Linked DNA regions of Lepisosteus oculatus. The protein of the gene in region 2 purifies or fractionates together with the protein of the main gene of each other region. This does not show direct contact. Links are inferred from orthologs where the notes say so. Each region holds a gene or a part of one and is shown on either strand. Other genes may lie near its edges.

The links.
Region 1: the proteins of csnk1db (region 2) and intermembrane lipid transfer protein VPS13B purify together in Homo sapiens (affinity purification with mass spectrometry; 3 studies listed by BioGRID and IntAct, counting the BioPlex papers as one, with this or other methods). This does not show direct contact. The link is inferred for Lepisosteus oculatus from reciprocal best matches to the Homo sapiens genes CSNK1D and VPS13B.
Region 3: the proteins of csnk1db (region 2) and bysl purify together in Homo sapiens (affinity purification with mass spectrometry; 3 studies listed by BioGRID and IntAct, with this or other methods). This does not show direct contact. The link is inferred for Lepisosteus oculatus from reciprocal best matches to the Homo sapiens genes CSNK1D and BYSL.

What each region holds. Positions count from the first base shown.
Region 1 is NC_090705.1:8,401,288-8,406,523, reverse strand, and holds the start of intermembrane lipid transfer protein VPS13B, read right to left. Parts: upstream 3,154-5,236; 5' UTR 3,039-3,153; intron 2,035-3,038; 5' UTR 2,013-2,034; coding exon 1,866-2,012; intron 1-1,865. UniProt on the Homo sapiens protein: Mediates the transfer of lipids between membranes at organelle contact sites. Binds phosphatidylinositol 3-phosphate. Functions as a tethering factor in the slow endocytic recycling pathway, to assist traffic between early and recycling endosomes.
Region 2 is NC_090704.1:39,445,288-39,450,523, reverse strand, and holds the start of csnk1db (casein kinase I), read right to left. Parts: upstream 2,818-5,236; 5' UTR 2,412-2,817; coding exon 2,336-2,411; intron 1-2,335. UniProt on the Homo sapiens protein: Essential serine/threonine-protein kinase that regulates diverse cellular growth and survival processes including Wnt signaling, DNA repair and circadian rhythms. It can phosphorylate a large number of proteins.
Region 3 is NC_090700.1:40,791,505-40,796,740, forward strand, and holds the start of bysl (bystin), read left to right. Parts: upstream 1-2,112; 5' UTR 2,113-2,264; coding exon 2,265-2,541; intron 2,542-3,178; coding exon 3,179-3,341; intron 3,342-3,849; coding exon 3,850-3,988; intron 3,989-4,098; coding exon 4,099-4,232; intron 4,233-4,756; coding exon 4,757-4,917; intron 4,918-5,007; coding exon 5,008-5,110; intron 5,111-5,236. Other genes in the region: med20 (mediator of RNA polymerase II transcription subunit 20), read right to left, coding at 146-294, 1,839-1,852. UniProt on the Homo sapiens protein: Required for processing of 20S pre-rRNA precursor and biogenesis of 40S ribosomal subunits. May be required for trophinin-dependent regulation of cell adhesion during implantation of human embryos.

The DNA.
Region 1 (5,236 bases), on a different chromosome or scaffold from region 2:
TTTTTTTCTTTTCCCCGCCAAAAGCTAATAATTAAATGTATTTTTGAAGGAAGAGCTGTCATGGATTTATTGCATGTCTGCTTTTAAACCCACACTATTTCACTTAAAAGACTATTTCTAATTATTTCTTTACAGATTATATATTGTATCCAAATTCAGACAAACTGACTGCAAAAGAGAGAAATCTGCCAGGAGTTTAAGATTACACTTCCCAGAAAACATTCCCACAGCATTCACTACCGCTAATCAAAATAACTTATGATATCCCTTTGATATCCTGCTGTATAATGGACCTTTCCTATTTAATACTGCACTACTGCCCAAACTTTGAAGAAACAAAACCACACATATCCACTAAGATTCTGCTCTCTGGTCAATGGCTTCAATGTATAGCGTAACACACCGTGTCCCACTTACACGAGAGAAAGCCATCTTAGGTTAGACTGAAGCAAAGTTCTTTAATATATTCATTTATATTGAATGTGTACACATACCCACTTCATTAAAGGTGCATTGTGACACCATATTCATCAAGTTTAAATACAGGGCTTAGACTCTCCCTAAAATAAAACAAAGGCAGAAGGACAGCAGTCCACTGTTGTTTCACTGGTCAGGCTGTAATGGCTATTCAAAAAGGCCCAATATATTATTGTATGGGGACATATCTTATATACAGTATTACTATAGACCCATTACTTCAGCCACCAATTGGTTTAAGACTCAGCTTCCAGCAGCAACTGAATGAGATGAGCAGACATGCAGAGCCACTGACACGCAGGAAGCTTCATAATGCCTAGCAGGGGAGCTAGCAAAGACTGGATTTAACCGATAGCACTGCAGGCAGCTGGGACTTCGCGAGAGTCAATGCCTGGCAGTCAGATGGCCCTAACCAACTAATAGCACCCCTTCAACAAAGGCACACTGTCACCTTAGGAATCCCAGTTAGCATCAAGACCCCGATTTGAACTAGCGATATATAGGACAAGCTCCTGCATTGACTGAGCCCCTACCCCTCTTAATACTTATGTTTCAGCTGGGGATGATCCAAGCCAGCATATAGTAGCAGGACTTTCTTCACAAGAGAAGGCTTTCAACACAGACCACTTAATGGGGCAAAATAACGCCTATTTTCAAACATGTATGGTAAACCTGTGACAAAGCCACCAGCACATTTTAAAAAAAGAAACAAGAAGGCTAAAGAACTTCAATAATTGCACACAACTGTATTCCTATTTTCAGCATAATCACTACAGAATCTAACAACTGACAGCACCTTATAAGCAGTGGTAGCGGTCAAAGGCAAAATGAGTACGCTCTGAACGAGTCTAGCCTCTTGCACCTTGGGTTCACTGGGTCAATTAAACACTGACTGAGGCACTCCACATCTGTAGACATACAGAGCTGAGATGTGAACCAAGTTACAAGTGACAGGAGGCCTTTCGGCACACCAAGCATGAAACTATTTTGTAGCTTAGTAGCTTAATGATCCAAGGATCTTATTCAGCCATTTCTTGAAACAAAACCTGGATACTGACTTCAACCACTTGACTGGATTGCTTGTTCTACACTCCCGCACTCCCACTGTCTTCTGGGTACAATTCTGGGTGCTTCCTGTGCTCAGTTTGAAATGCTCATACACTTAGTTTCCTCTGTCGTTCTCTGGTTCCCGTGCCACCGTTCACTCTGAAGAAGTCCGTTTCGTCAGTGCCTTTGAGGATTTTCGAAAAGTTAGGTCTACGTTGTGTCACTCAAGAGCATGACCCCGTTGTCTCACAATGGCAGCTTAATTTATTTTCGTTTTTTTCCTGCCCTCGTATACAATGCAAACCCACACACCAGGCAGGGTCTCTGGGGCTACATCTTACCTGCTCGAGGACATCCAGTTTCAGCTCCAGCTTGCTGAGGACAACATCGCCGCCCCAGAGCGACAGCTGCAGATCCGATGGCTTCAGGTTCTTAATGTAGCGGTTGACATAGCTCATCAGCAGCGGAGTAACGTAAGACTCCAACATGGTGGATGGAATGCCTTTAACACTGCGGGTGGAAAGAAAGACCTGGGTGAAACCGTTTCTGACGGCAAATGGGCGAAACGTTTTAGACACAGGACAACAACAAGCAACACTGCAGACAAATAATTCAGTTTCATCCGCACAGACGTTCATTGTTTAATGTCCATTACTCGCAATGGCATGCAGTCAACTGTCAACTTTTTAGAAACAAAAATACACCCAGCGCAGTGCTGGGCTCTCCGATTCTGCTGTGGTATCATGACTGCAAATTAAAGCATGGATAGCCTTAAGCGTTTGTCCTAACAACACCTGCCCTAAGACAAAGATTACAAATGAATAACCCTATGGTATGAGAGTAAACAACTCTCCTTTTCAGAGATCCTTAGGCTTAAAGCTGAATGCACATTACGAATTGACTGTTTAATTCCAATGACAAATAAAGGTGCAACCCAAAGCAGAGCAATTTCCCCCCCACAGCTGCTGATCTGCGCAACTGTAAGGAACACGGGAACAGTGGCGGAATTTGGACAAACATAAAATCGACAGACGTCGTGCGTGTAACTTGGTCTTAGTATGAAAGCCGGAATTTCTGTCTGAAGCAAAAGTACAGCCAACTCCTTTAATTCATTTATCTAATATTAATAGAAAGTGGAGAGAAGCAAATACACAAATACAAATACAGCCTGTTCCTGAAGTAAATCTTATACTTTGGTAAAACAATTTAACTGCATAGAAACCCAAATGTTGACAGGAGTTTTATTTGGAGGATATTATCCAAGAATATCAGAGAATCTGAAAACTGTAGTAACGAAATGGTATACCGATTCCAGCGAGAAACATGCACAAGAGGACTCAAGCTGTTAACCTTAGCTCTTTGCATTCTGCCGAAATGCTTATTGCGCGACACTGTGCAATTAATAAACAAACTTCACATCACAATGACAAGAAACACATTCTAACACCGCATATACATTTAAACAAAGGGCTTCCGAGTAAAGGCTACACTTAAAATAATACATTAACTCTTACTTTACTGAGTCAAGTCCTTAAAGTTTCCGCAACTATACTACTATTCATTCCGACAAGAGCACAACATCAACAGCGAACCACTTGCACGGCTCTGTAACAACGTCACCATGTTACTCTTCCGCACAACAGCACTTCCGGCATTCACAAGTGAGGTCATTTCCTTTAAAGGGCAACCCTGCTGGCGTGCTGGAGTATCTATGGTATTAAGAGCTGCGAAGCAAGGAGTTCGGTAGAATGTGTTTGGTTGGCTTTGGAGTCAGGTCCACCAAGCACTCCAGTGGGGGTTTACGGTTTGTCCAATAAGTGGACGTTAATCTTAACTAAATTAACAATGTAAAAAAAAACGTGCATTGTTGAAACTTGATTGTTTCACTTTTTTTTGAATTAGCAGCTGTGAAAAGCTCTCCTGTTAATTTGTGCCTGCAATGTAAGGCTGAATAATGGATGTTTATTTGTAAAATGGTTTTGTTTTGTTCTCTAAAAATTAAAAATTAAAAAAAAATGTTACAGGATGAGGCAGGCTAAAAAAAAAAAGAAAAGCTCTCCTGTTAGACGAACGTTAGCCGGCGTATGTATACAAATACATTAAAGTTGCGCAATCAAAGCCTGTCAGAGAACTGAATACATGTTGTTTGCAAAGGAAAATTGATAATTGCAAAGTTACGTTACGTGGTATTTATGCTGTTTATCGCTAACGTCTACTGTACTGTACTGATCATTTTAAGACAATTATGTACCTAACTACTCAATGCTTATTGATATTTATGAAGCCGTGTTTTCCAAATCTGCACGCAATGGCTGAAAAGTTCAGTACAGATTTTCAGTGAACACATTCTGTGTTATTGGAACATAAATCAAATATATAAAAAACATTTAATTCACTTCAGAAAATCTCCCATAATCATTTTTACCCCTCTCTTGCAGGGGTAAATTCTTCATTTTCTGACCCCACAAAAGAAAAGCTTTTTTTAACAGTAAACCATCATAAAACATTAGCCACAAAAGGCCACAATTCGTGTAAATAAAAAGGTGCACGAAGGAATTATTAGGAACATGCCTACTCAGAGTAAGACAGGAGTTAAAATCCCAAAACAGATTACTATTAAAATTACTTAACTATCTTCACAGGCTTTTTACATTTAAAATGAAATATTGTGCCATGAAATGACCCAGTAAAGGAATGTACCTGAGCAGACAGTGAACAATGACAAATAAAGAGATAGTTAAGACACTTGTGGTCAGGGTAAGGTATTGATTTAAAAGTGTGATGTAAACCACCCTTTTGAATATTACGTCACTATCCACTGCTACTATTACCTGAATCTTTGCTAGTATGTCCCCACTGATGGTTTATAGGTTTATCCTTAATTATTTCATTTGAAAGGATACCATTGCACTGCACTCTTTGTTAGTATTGCTATATCATCTATATTGCCTTAACTTCTACTGTTGACAGAGGTCACTGGTTTCTTGCATAAGTGAATAAGGCATACATCATAAAGCATTAACTTTATCCATATTTTGAAAGAACTATCCAAAAGCTATTGTCAGTTTACTTACATCCAGTGTGTGTTTGTAAGTGTATTTATAATTGTGTTTTTGCCCAGATGCTATTTTAAACTCTGGTTTGCAAATAGGTTAGAAAAGATCCAAAGTTAATTCGCATTTCTACAGGTAAACACAAATCCTGTTCCCTAAATTAGCCAAGAGTGATATACAGTAATTATTTTATTATTTCAATATATAAAATTATATGTGATTTTAATGAGTCATTAAAAACACTCTTTATATTGTAATTGACTGTTTTGTATGTTTTTCTTGCACATGTATGGTCCAACTGGTCAGATAATCTCAATTATTATGATATTGAATGATGCCCTTAATCTCAAGGATTGAAAGAGGATCTTTTTTTTTTTAAACCATAAAGAATACAGTGTGTTTGTAGAGGCTGGGGTATATTCCAGAACTCGCCTTCACATTCTACGCAGATCTGTGAGACATTCAAATAGGTGTCATTTATCTAACAGAAAACTGTATGGTGAATCTGGTTTAAACTCGTCTTTTGCACCGAGTGTGTATGGATGGAATTTCTGTCTCGCACAGAGTCGACAAGGGAGGTTGGACAGTGCAGGAGAAATAGCCATGAAAAATGTTGAATACAAACTGGAACTGAATTTTGCTTTCCCACGTTGATTCAA
Region 2 (5,236 bases):
CAAGAAAAGGCAGTGAGATTAAACATTATAGAGGCGAGAAGGGACCGCTGGAGAAGTGGATAGTCTGCTGACCCTGATGGGGATTCAAGTAACCCAATAGAAGGTCCTTAACTTCCAGCTCAGACTAGCTGTAACTTTACCAAATAAACAAAAAAAACTTGGGAGTTGAAAACATTACAGAGCCTCCAGGTCTGATGCCAAAACAAGGACATTCTGAAGATCAAATGGATAGGACTAAGAATAAACACTTCATGTTATTAAACTTCAGTCAATGACAGAAACTCATTTTGATTTGCTATAAGTTGGTTTGCAAAAAAGCCAACTTACACTAAATCAGCAGTATGAAGTTAGTGATACTGCGCTAAACACCAGCATAACCAAGGCAGACTAAGTGTTTGAGCATCTGTTGACTACAACTGATGTAATAGGTTTTAGGTTTCATTCCAAAGCCATGATTAAATCCGTATTAATTAATTCCTTAACATGGTCTCCATGTTAGCAGCTGCACAAAACGTCCATCACAATGTACCAACATAAAAACTGTTGCGAGACAATGAAAGACAGAGAGCCTTTACAGAGGTGGCCTTGTGTGTACACCCAAAAGGAGATATATAAAATACAAAGCTGATTTAAGGAGAAAGTACAATTCATACAAAACAGCTCATCTCAGTAACACCATTTTAAAACACCTTATAGCTACTGTCATAACAATGGACTTCTAATGATGTTCTATGGGAATCTACATTTTCTCGTATCAGACAACCAGTGAGGACTTACCAGTCCATATTTATATCCCTGTATCGAATGCATCTTGAGAAGCCAAACCAGTCTGTGACACTAAAGGAAAATGCCTACCTCAATAGTAACAGATGACATCCATATGGGAAAGGTCACCCCCAATCAACAGGGATCGTCTTACACATCCCTTATACCGTTCGTCTTGCCCACAGGCCTTCTGGCTGTTTCTGGTGTTGTGTTATAATACTGGGGGAAACTTATCCTCACCTTTCCAACTTTACACCAGACAGCCAGAACTGGTAACCCACGAGATTCACATCCAGACCACGCTTAATATGCACTGAGTGCCTAAAAAGCATACAGGCGCTGCAAAGGACCATTGTTGGACACAAACAAACCCACCCGTCGTGACTCCTCTTCCAAACGAGAATCTGGGGGAAAACAGAACCTGCAATTTGCTCTACACGTTTTTTTTCCGCTAAATAAAGCATACCAGCCTCCCAGATCTTACAACTGCACACGTTATATAACGCATACTCTGTTTCGTTTTGATTTACACATCAACATCTATTTTTTTACACCCCCACCTCTTCCACTACGTTACGTGTGGTGGTGAACAGGATTTACTGCTACACAAGCCTCTTCGTGTTACGTTTTAACCGCTCGGAAGCGAATGTCGCCTGAAGAACAATGCACCCTCAAGAGAAAGGTCCTCCTGTTTGATGTTTCTCACTTCAGGTTCGACTGGGAAATTGATCAAAATACCGAAATTCGGATAAAAAAAGGACCATCCTCGGTTCGGAACTCCTTTGTGAACCCAGAACGCCGCACGGTGTATGTGCTCTAGCTACACAATGTAACAGTTAACATCTATGGTTAAGCAGTAACTAACCACTGGTAAAGAAAAGTATGCAGATCACAAAACAGCGTTTGAATTGGGGGGATTTGCGTACAAAAAAAACGAGCAAAAATACGTTTGTTTTGTTCCGGCTTGCGATGGCTGTGGAAACCCGAAGGTTCAAAATGCCAAGAAGCCAAGTGTCAATTTCTGTTTAACATAACAAAGGGATCTTCCAATTAGGTACAAAAACCCGAGATAGCATTGTGTACGGCGCCGTTTCCAACACTAAAAGGTAATATAAATGAGCGGCAGGCACGATTCACTAACCGAAGCCCTTGTCAGAGAAGTTGTTGGAATGAATTTGTTTCGGGTTTATTTTTAAATAGGAGCACTCCCGTCTAGTAACAAGGGGGTTGAGATACAAAGAGCTCGATTAGTTACACATCGCTTCACCTTATTTAGTACAAGGTATCCTAGATTCTGTGAAAAGGAACAGGATACAGCTAAGTTACTTGGACACATTTATACTACGAAGCAGATAATGCAAATACGGCACAGTAACAAGAAGTGCTCGTCACAGTTTAAGGGGAATGTTACCTTCTACTACTACAATTCACTCAAATTGCAGACCGTTTTCATAAATGTCATAACACAAGCACCCGTGTTCTTACACAAATGAGCCCAACTTACCTTCGTCCTGTCCAAAAAATAACTGTAGTTAAATTTCAATCTACAGAATCAATTTAGTCCACTTACCCAGATAAATGTCTCCAAAAGATCCACTTCCAATTTTCCTACCCAGTCTGTATCTGTTTCCAACTCTCAGTTCCATGGCTTTAATTCTTATATAAAAATGTAAACAGGAGTAATTTTCTTAATCAAACCCCCGGAAGGTTCGATTTAAGCCCCTAATAATATCCGAAACCTTCAATATTTCCTCTATATCTGCCCTTTTCACCACTCTCCCCCTTCCTTCCAATTTTTAATAATATTGTTCCTTCTGTCACAATCCAATTTTCACCATTCCTTTTCTACCTCCCCGATTTTCCAAATACACCAATATGGGGCTTATCTGAAAGCTTGAAATGTGTAGATTATGTTCTTGTTGTTTCGGATGGCATCCCTCTTAACGGTGGAGAGGATGGAGACGGATTTTAATGGCTATCTTCTCTAGCTTAAAATACTGACTACCTCTGCTAACCCCCTCCTTCTGTGTGAAACAGTCTGCCATAGTCCTGTGACATCACTTCCCCTAGCAACAGTGGAGAGGGGGAGGGGATTGGGTAGGGTCTGAAACAAAAACAAGTATAACGATGGATTGATTCAACCTTCTTAGTTTCTTTTGTCCAGCTTTCAAAATAGCGTAAAATAATATGCGGCTGTTTTTTTTTCCAAAAGCAATCTCTACAATAATAAGCTTCATAGGTTATTAGTAGATAACATGGACAGGACAAGATGTTCTCAAAAGACATTGGGCTATTCAGTGGGAAAAAGTTAATTCCTCATGACTACAAATATACATTTGTATTTTCAGTTGTATATGAAGCATGCGAAATGGTTTTAATCCTTTCATTGTGACAATAATTTAATTTAAAAAACATCAGTAAATATAAAATAAATACTGAATATGTCTGAAACCATTGCTAAATAGACACATAGAACATATATCCTTCCTGTTACATAGCTATACTTTTCCTTTAGAGCCTTAGTTCTATAAGCAAGAATTCCAGTTGAGTGACTATGATTAAATGTGTTGTAAATAGACAGAAGAGCAATGTGCCCCGTAAAAGACAAAGATAAACACACAGAACAATTGTTTTATATGTAAATTCTTGTAATATTGTACAGTATGTTGCTTCTTCCTGAAACAACAAAACAGTTATCACCTCATGTTTTTGAAACCATAGGCTCTGTGTCTGAAGCTAGAACAATTATTAAAGAAAGATGATACAAACATTTGTATTTATGTTTCTAACAGGGCCAAAAATCGTGCATTTTTAATTCACTGCTTTTCTTCCATCTTGTTCTCAAAGTTGCTCTGTTCCATGAGCACCGTGCACCTATCCTTGTTGTTTACACAGCTTCCAGTATTGTTCCAACTGGTTGCCAAACTTGTTTCTGTGGTAACATGTCTTCTCTTCAGTCTTCCTGTTTACACTTCAAAAAGCGTAAAAAAATTCAACTCATCTGTCCTTTGCCTGAAACAACAGGAAGTGATAAATGCAACCTTTTTTTTTCAAATTGTTTGTATTTTCTTATAGGGCTGGAATGTAATTATTTTAGTTGGACATCATAAAACATAAATGTATTGGTATCAACTAAAGACAGTCAACATTTTTCTCCAAAAGGCGTCCTTACATTACTATAATTGCAGTCAAACAAAATTATACTGCATCAAAAAGGAAGGTTCTGAAATATTTGATCTTAACCTTTTTTGACAGTACAATATGCTTTAGTAACAAACTTCAGTTTCTGTGAAACAGCAAGTCTTATTTTTATAGTCTATGAGTAAATGGATCTGTTCTATGTTTATCACATTTTTCATACAACTGTTTTCAGAAATCACTCAAAAAACTCATCTGCCTTTGACTAAGGGCCCACTGAGTACTGTAGCAGTTTATTGCTGACCTTTCCTTTCTTTCCTCCTTTAGGCCTTCTAAAAAGGCTTGTTCTTTTTTAGAAGTGTTATTGCTTGTTGAACTGTTCTTATTTTATAAAAATATAATTTCTAGGTTTACTGAAGATATCCTTGAGAGCAAGATATTTATTTCCGCTAAGACCATCCTCTATAAACCTTGCTAATCCATAAATCTTCTGAGTTATGGATTGGTACCATTTATTTAAAATGTATTTATTACACAAGTACACAGAATTTAGCTACATTTTGCTAACATAAACAAGAATACAAAAAATCCTAGAAGAAATGTCTTTGACAAGTATAACGTACCAAGGAAGATTACATTTAATAAATTAGTGTTTAATCTTGCTTCAGATACTGGGTTCTAAAGCAATCTTAAATAGTATCTGATTATAATAATGAAAGTCTGAACATACTATATCCCATCACATTTTAAAATCTCTTGATTTATTTAGATTTTTTAAAAATGTAAATAGGTGTGCTTACATCAAAATATAAAGAGCATATACAGTATATGGGGCAACCATTTTTTCTGAAGGCAAGACAAGAAATGATATTTTTTAGAATCCACAGATTTTAGGATATGTCCAAAATTTCATATAAGTTTTCCTCAACTTGTATTTTTGATTTTATAAAAATAATCTCCATAAGTCAAGTAGAAATATTTTATCTATGCATTTTCCAGACCGCCAAGAATATTATAACAGATTAAGGATGTCTTTGGCCTGCTCTTTTGCAGTGTTTTTACATTTTTACCACCCTACGTTTTACATTATTGATTCATTCATCAAATACTTCTGAGCTTCTGAGCTAATATGTTTTGACTAGAAAAATGTAAGGCCATGGATTTTTTTTACAAAGCTATCTGATGAATCCTTTCTGAAGATTTTTTGTGCATAAAAATATTTCAGATTGTTTCACAACTGTGACATCAACTCACTTATTTGGGTTTATTGTTTCTACATTTGACATTTTCCTTTACAAGGATGCACTTTGAAAAAAATGAAACACATCTTTTG
Region 3 (5,236 bases), on a different chromosome or scaffold from region 2:
GCATCTTTCCCCCTTTCCTTATTAGCTTTTTTAATACCCTCTGTCTCAAGCTCTCAGTGCTATTTTGTGTTGGACAACTCTCTCCACAACACTCTACCTCTCTCTTTATCCAGAGTAACCACGCTCCCTCGCTCAGCGCTCTCACCTGTAGTGCCCATGGCCCCCGCATGGTAGGTCTCACAGTCCACGCAGAAACTGCCCTGTTTCACTGCTCCCAGCTGCTCCAGCTTCCTGTGCAGCATCTCCACTGTCTGCTGGACACTCTTCCCCTCCACCACCGGCACCTGGCACACACTGCCAGAGCACAGGGTTACTGCTAACACTCCACACACACACACACACTGCCAGAGCACAGGGTTACTGCTAACACTCCACACACACACACACTGCCAGAGCACAGGGTTACTGCTAACACTCCGCGCACACACACACACTGCCAGAGCACAGGGTTACTGCTAACACTCCGCGCACACACACACACTGCCAGAGCACAGGGTTACTGCTAACACTCCGCGCACACACACACACTGCCAGAGCACAGGGTTACTGCTAACACTCCGCGCACACACACACACACTGCCAGAGCACAGGGTTACTGCTAACACTCCGCACACACACACACACTGCCAGAGCACAGGGTTACTGCTAACACTCCCCACACACACACTGCCAGAGCACAGGGTTACTGCTAACACTCCGCACACACACACTGCCAGAGCACAGGGTTACTGCTAACACTCCCCACACACACACTGCCAGAGCACAGGGTTACTGCTAACACTCCCCACACACACACTGCCAGAGCACAGGGTTACTGCTAACACTCCCCACACACACACACACTGCCAGAGCACAGGGTTACTGCTAACACTCCCCACACACACACACACTGCCTGAGCACAGGGTTACTGCTAACACTCCACACACACACACACTGCCAGAGCACAGGGTTACTGCTAACACTCCACACACACACACTGCCAGAGCACAGGGTTACAGCTAACACTCCACACACACACACTGATTTCAACTAATAACCTTCCTAACTGAACAAATTATGAGTTTAACTGGTATTTTTAACACACTGCCGGACTGTGTCAAGTCAAGACTGGAGTTGAGTTCTTATAAAGCAGATAGTTTAAAAACAAAAAAGCAAAGCATCATATATCAATTAGATCGTTTAAATTATATATTTTTTAAATGCATAAAAGTTTTAAATAAATTGTTCTAGGAACCGAGCAAAACTATAGTGCTATTTTAAGAGTTGGTTCAAAAGTGTCATCTTGTGACACAACTGTGCATAAAGCTTTTTAAACATACTGCTAAATTGGAAAATGCAATCGGTTCTGGAATAACCTGCATTAGCCAGGCTGCAGTTACATAATTCAAAACAGCTCCTTTCTCCAAACCACCTTCTTCTCCTCCTGCAGCATCATCATACTGTAATTGTAACGATATACCGCCGGACCAGAGACTCCGCTAATATAGCACACCCTGTCCCTGCACGTAAACAAAGCACGCTGCCTCCTTTCAAACTGCAGACCATTTCGTTTCAAATGGCTTCTAAAGTCCGCAAACTCACAACTGTTGCTGTCGGCGCAGCCCCACCAGGGCCGCGGTTAACCAGTTTAAAAACGTCTGTTATCGTATTATTTAATATTTATGGTGAGGCTCTGGACCCGAGGAACCCAGCTGTGACTATGTTGTTGTACACGTAGGTATGAAACTCGCATTGCTCCAACACCATGTCCAGCCGTGTAAAACAATACGCTCCGGATCGCCATTGTCAATGAAATGACGTTTCTGCTGCAATAAAAGATTCAAATAACTAATCTTACCACGTTACACCCATGTTCGCCTCTGACAGAACAAGACTCCTCTAACTTCACGTTACTTCAGACACGAGCTTCCTGTTATCAGGAAGAGGAAGTGACGCCACGATCGGAGGTTGACAATAACAAATTAGTACAGCTAATTTATATTCATATTATTCTTATCGTGAAATTAAATGATCATTTTCAAGACTTCCTATAAAGACGTTTTTAAAAGTTGTCTTCAATTTTATTTTTTGTGCTTCGAGTGTCGCCATGATTGTGCGGGGTGGAGGGGCGGTGACATCATTTCCGGTGAGTGGCAAAGGGTCACGCGTGCTTGCTGAGTGGTCTTTCTCCACATGTGCGGGCAGAGTTTTAAGTCTGTTTTACAGGTTTCGGCACACAAGACAAACAGAACTCTGACAGCAGAGCGAATCGGCGCCTACGGAGATGCCGAAAGTGAAGAAGACGAAAGGCGGAGGGAGAGCGGAGCACAGCCGAGTCGCGATGGTTCCTCTGGCCGAGCAGATCCTGCAGAGCGATGAGGTGAAGAGCAGCGGCCGGGTGAAGAGCCGTGGCCGCCGGCAGGAGGCTGAGGACGAGTACGTGGACGAGCGGCTGTCCCGGAAGATCCTGGAGCAGGCTCGGATACAGCAGGAGGAGCTGGAGGCGGAGTGCGGGCTCGGGAAGACTGCGGAGAGTAAAAAGCAGCCCACGACCGTGCTGGGTGAGTGTTTAGCGAGGGTGACAGAACGCGTGCCGCTTGTCACGGGCTGGTCCTGCGTCCGGCACGGGTGCGACCTATCTCGGCTGTGCGTGCCGCGTTGTTTGTAAGGAGAGTGACATGAGTGAGGCGTCCTGTTCGTGAACTGTTCGTACAAAAGAGGTGGAAATCAGATACCGCTTCTCTCTGCTGTGCTTCAGCTGCTTGGTCACACACGGCCTCCGGCGCGACCCCTAGCGAGAGGCCACAATCCCATCACCCACCTGGCCAGGTTTTCATGAAGCCAGCCGTAATGCTGGCACTTTGAGAGCAAGTAGCAAACATTGAATCCTCCTTTGGTGTCTAGTGTCCTGAGAGTTATGGGCAGGGGGGTTGTCACCGTCTCAAACTGTATCGCTGTAGAGTGTTGCGATTTGATTCAGAACCAACAGTGAAAACTACTGGGAAGAGTTCTTAAAAACTGAGACCAGGAGGTACTTCTATACACAGAGGGTGGTGGAGGTCTGAAACAAGTGGCCCAGCCATGTTGTTGGAGTTCATTCCCTGGGCCATTTCTGGAAAGATCTGGGTGAAATGATGGGATCAGCTAGCTCCCAACAGCCCTGATGGGGTTTTCTGACCTGTTCCTGTTGCCCTGCAGGCTCTGGCTCCAGGGACTCGGACTCGGAGGAGGAGGAATGGCCGGCGCTGGGGCAGGGGGGAGATGGAGAGGACGGGGAGGGGGCGGCAGGGGCAGAGGTGGAGGTGGACCCGGAGGATGAGAAGGCCATCCAGATGTTCATGAGCAAGAACCCGCCGCTCAGGTACTGACCCGGACCGACCTACCTCACAGAGCCGGGCTCTGGCAATGCAACAGCAAACCTGCTAGAATTCCAGCAGCGCAGCCCAGAGTTTACTCAGTGTTTCTCAACCACAATCCACAAATCGTGTGCAGTGCTCTCTTCCACACGTACGGAACTTTGCTGGAAAAGCTGCCTTGAATATCTGTTTACGTCTAGAAATCCTTGAGATGGGACCATCTTTTCTCTGGCAATGAAAAGACCCCACATCAGTTCCAGCAGCAGAGTCCCTGTGTGTCCAGTAATAGTCAATGTTCAGGAGCGGTCCAGGAGTCCAGACTGTTGAGGCACTCGGGAGTTCTGGGGTCTGTCTGCCAGGGTTTGATGTGGCCAACAGCAGACAAGTGACTGTCTCCTTAAGCCCTGCGTTGTTCCAGCCTGGAATGTCCTGCCCCCGTGTGCGGAGTGCGTGGTTGCTATCCTCCGGCCTCAGTGTGTCAGGCTGCGTTCACGACTGTGCCTCTTCCCCCAGGAGGACTCTGGCGGACATCATCATGGAGAAGATCACAGAGAAGCAGACGGAGGTGGAGACGGTGATGTCGGAGGTGTCGGGGCACCCCATGCCCCAGCTGGACCCCCGAGTCATTGAGGTGTACAAGGGGGTGAAGGAGGTGAGCGTCCTGTGCTGGGCCACGGTGTGGGCGGGGACACCCTCTCTCTCAGTCTGTGTGCTGCCATTCCCTGTCTCTCCCTCACTGTCCTTTCTGACGCACTCTCCCAGGTTCTGTCCAAGTACCGCAGCGGAAAGCTGCCCAAGGCCTTCAAGATCGTGCCTGCTCTGTCCAACTGGGAGCAGGTGCTGTACATCACAGAGCCGGAGACCTGGACGGCGGCAGCGATGTACCAGGCCACACGGTGAGATCAACACTCCCCTCACAGCTCCCGAAACACTTGGCCGGCAGACCGCACTGCTGTTCTTTTGGTTTGTAGCGCTGACACTGTGCAAACGGACAGAGGAGAGGCTTTCCTGTCGTCTCTGTAAAGTGGTTCTCTTTTTTAACCAAGAAAACATTCTCTCATAAACCACTTCAGCCCCAAACTCTTTCCGTGTTCGTAGGGCTATGCGTCCAAGAACATGAGAGCACCCATTGCGCAGGATTCTGATCCACTTATAGTTTTACAAACTGCAGGCTTTTATTCAACTGGTAGCGGCTTTTGAATTTGTGATGGGAATTCATATGTGCCTCAATATGCACAGAAGAGCGTGTAAAGCTAATTGCTACTGTTATGCTTAATCGGTACAATGTATACAGTACAACCTGGTTAAACTCAACCAGGTCAAGCGACAGCTGTCGGATGTGTCCTGTGTGAATTATTGTCCGTGTGCAGGTGTCCCTTTTCTACGCCTCATTTTTCTTTCTCCCTGTTGCCACCTGCAGGATCTTCTCCTCCAATCTGAAGGAGAGGATGGCTCAACGCTTCTATAACCTTGTCCTGCTGCCGCGGATTCGAGATGACATCGCGGAGTATAAACGGCTCAACTTCCACCTGTACAGCGCGCTGAAGAAGGCGCTTTTCAAGCCTGGGGCCTGGTTCAAGGGTGAGAGTCTAAGGCTTTATAATGGCCGTCCCTGGCAGTGCAGGAGATGAGCCACATCGCTAACGTCTCTCCCCCCTCTTTCTCGCTCAGGAATCCTGATCCCCCTGTGCGAGTCGGGGACCTGCACGCTGAGAGAGGCCATCATCATCGGCAGCATCATCACCAAGTGCTCCATCCCTGTCCTGCACTCCAGGTACACAAGCAGGAGGGAGGGCCGGCAATATTATTTCGTTATTTGGCAGGCACTTTTATCTAGCGCAACCTCCAGAAGTTACTATTGCAGCACCTTTTTTTTTCCCCCATGTACACATGTTGGTGT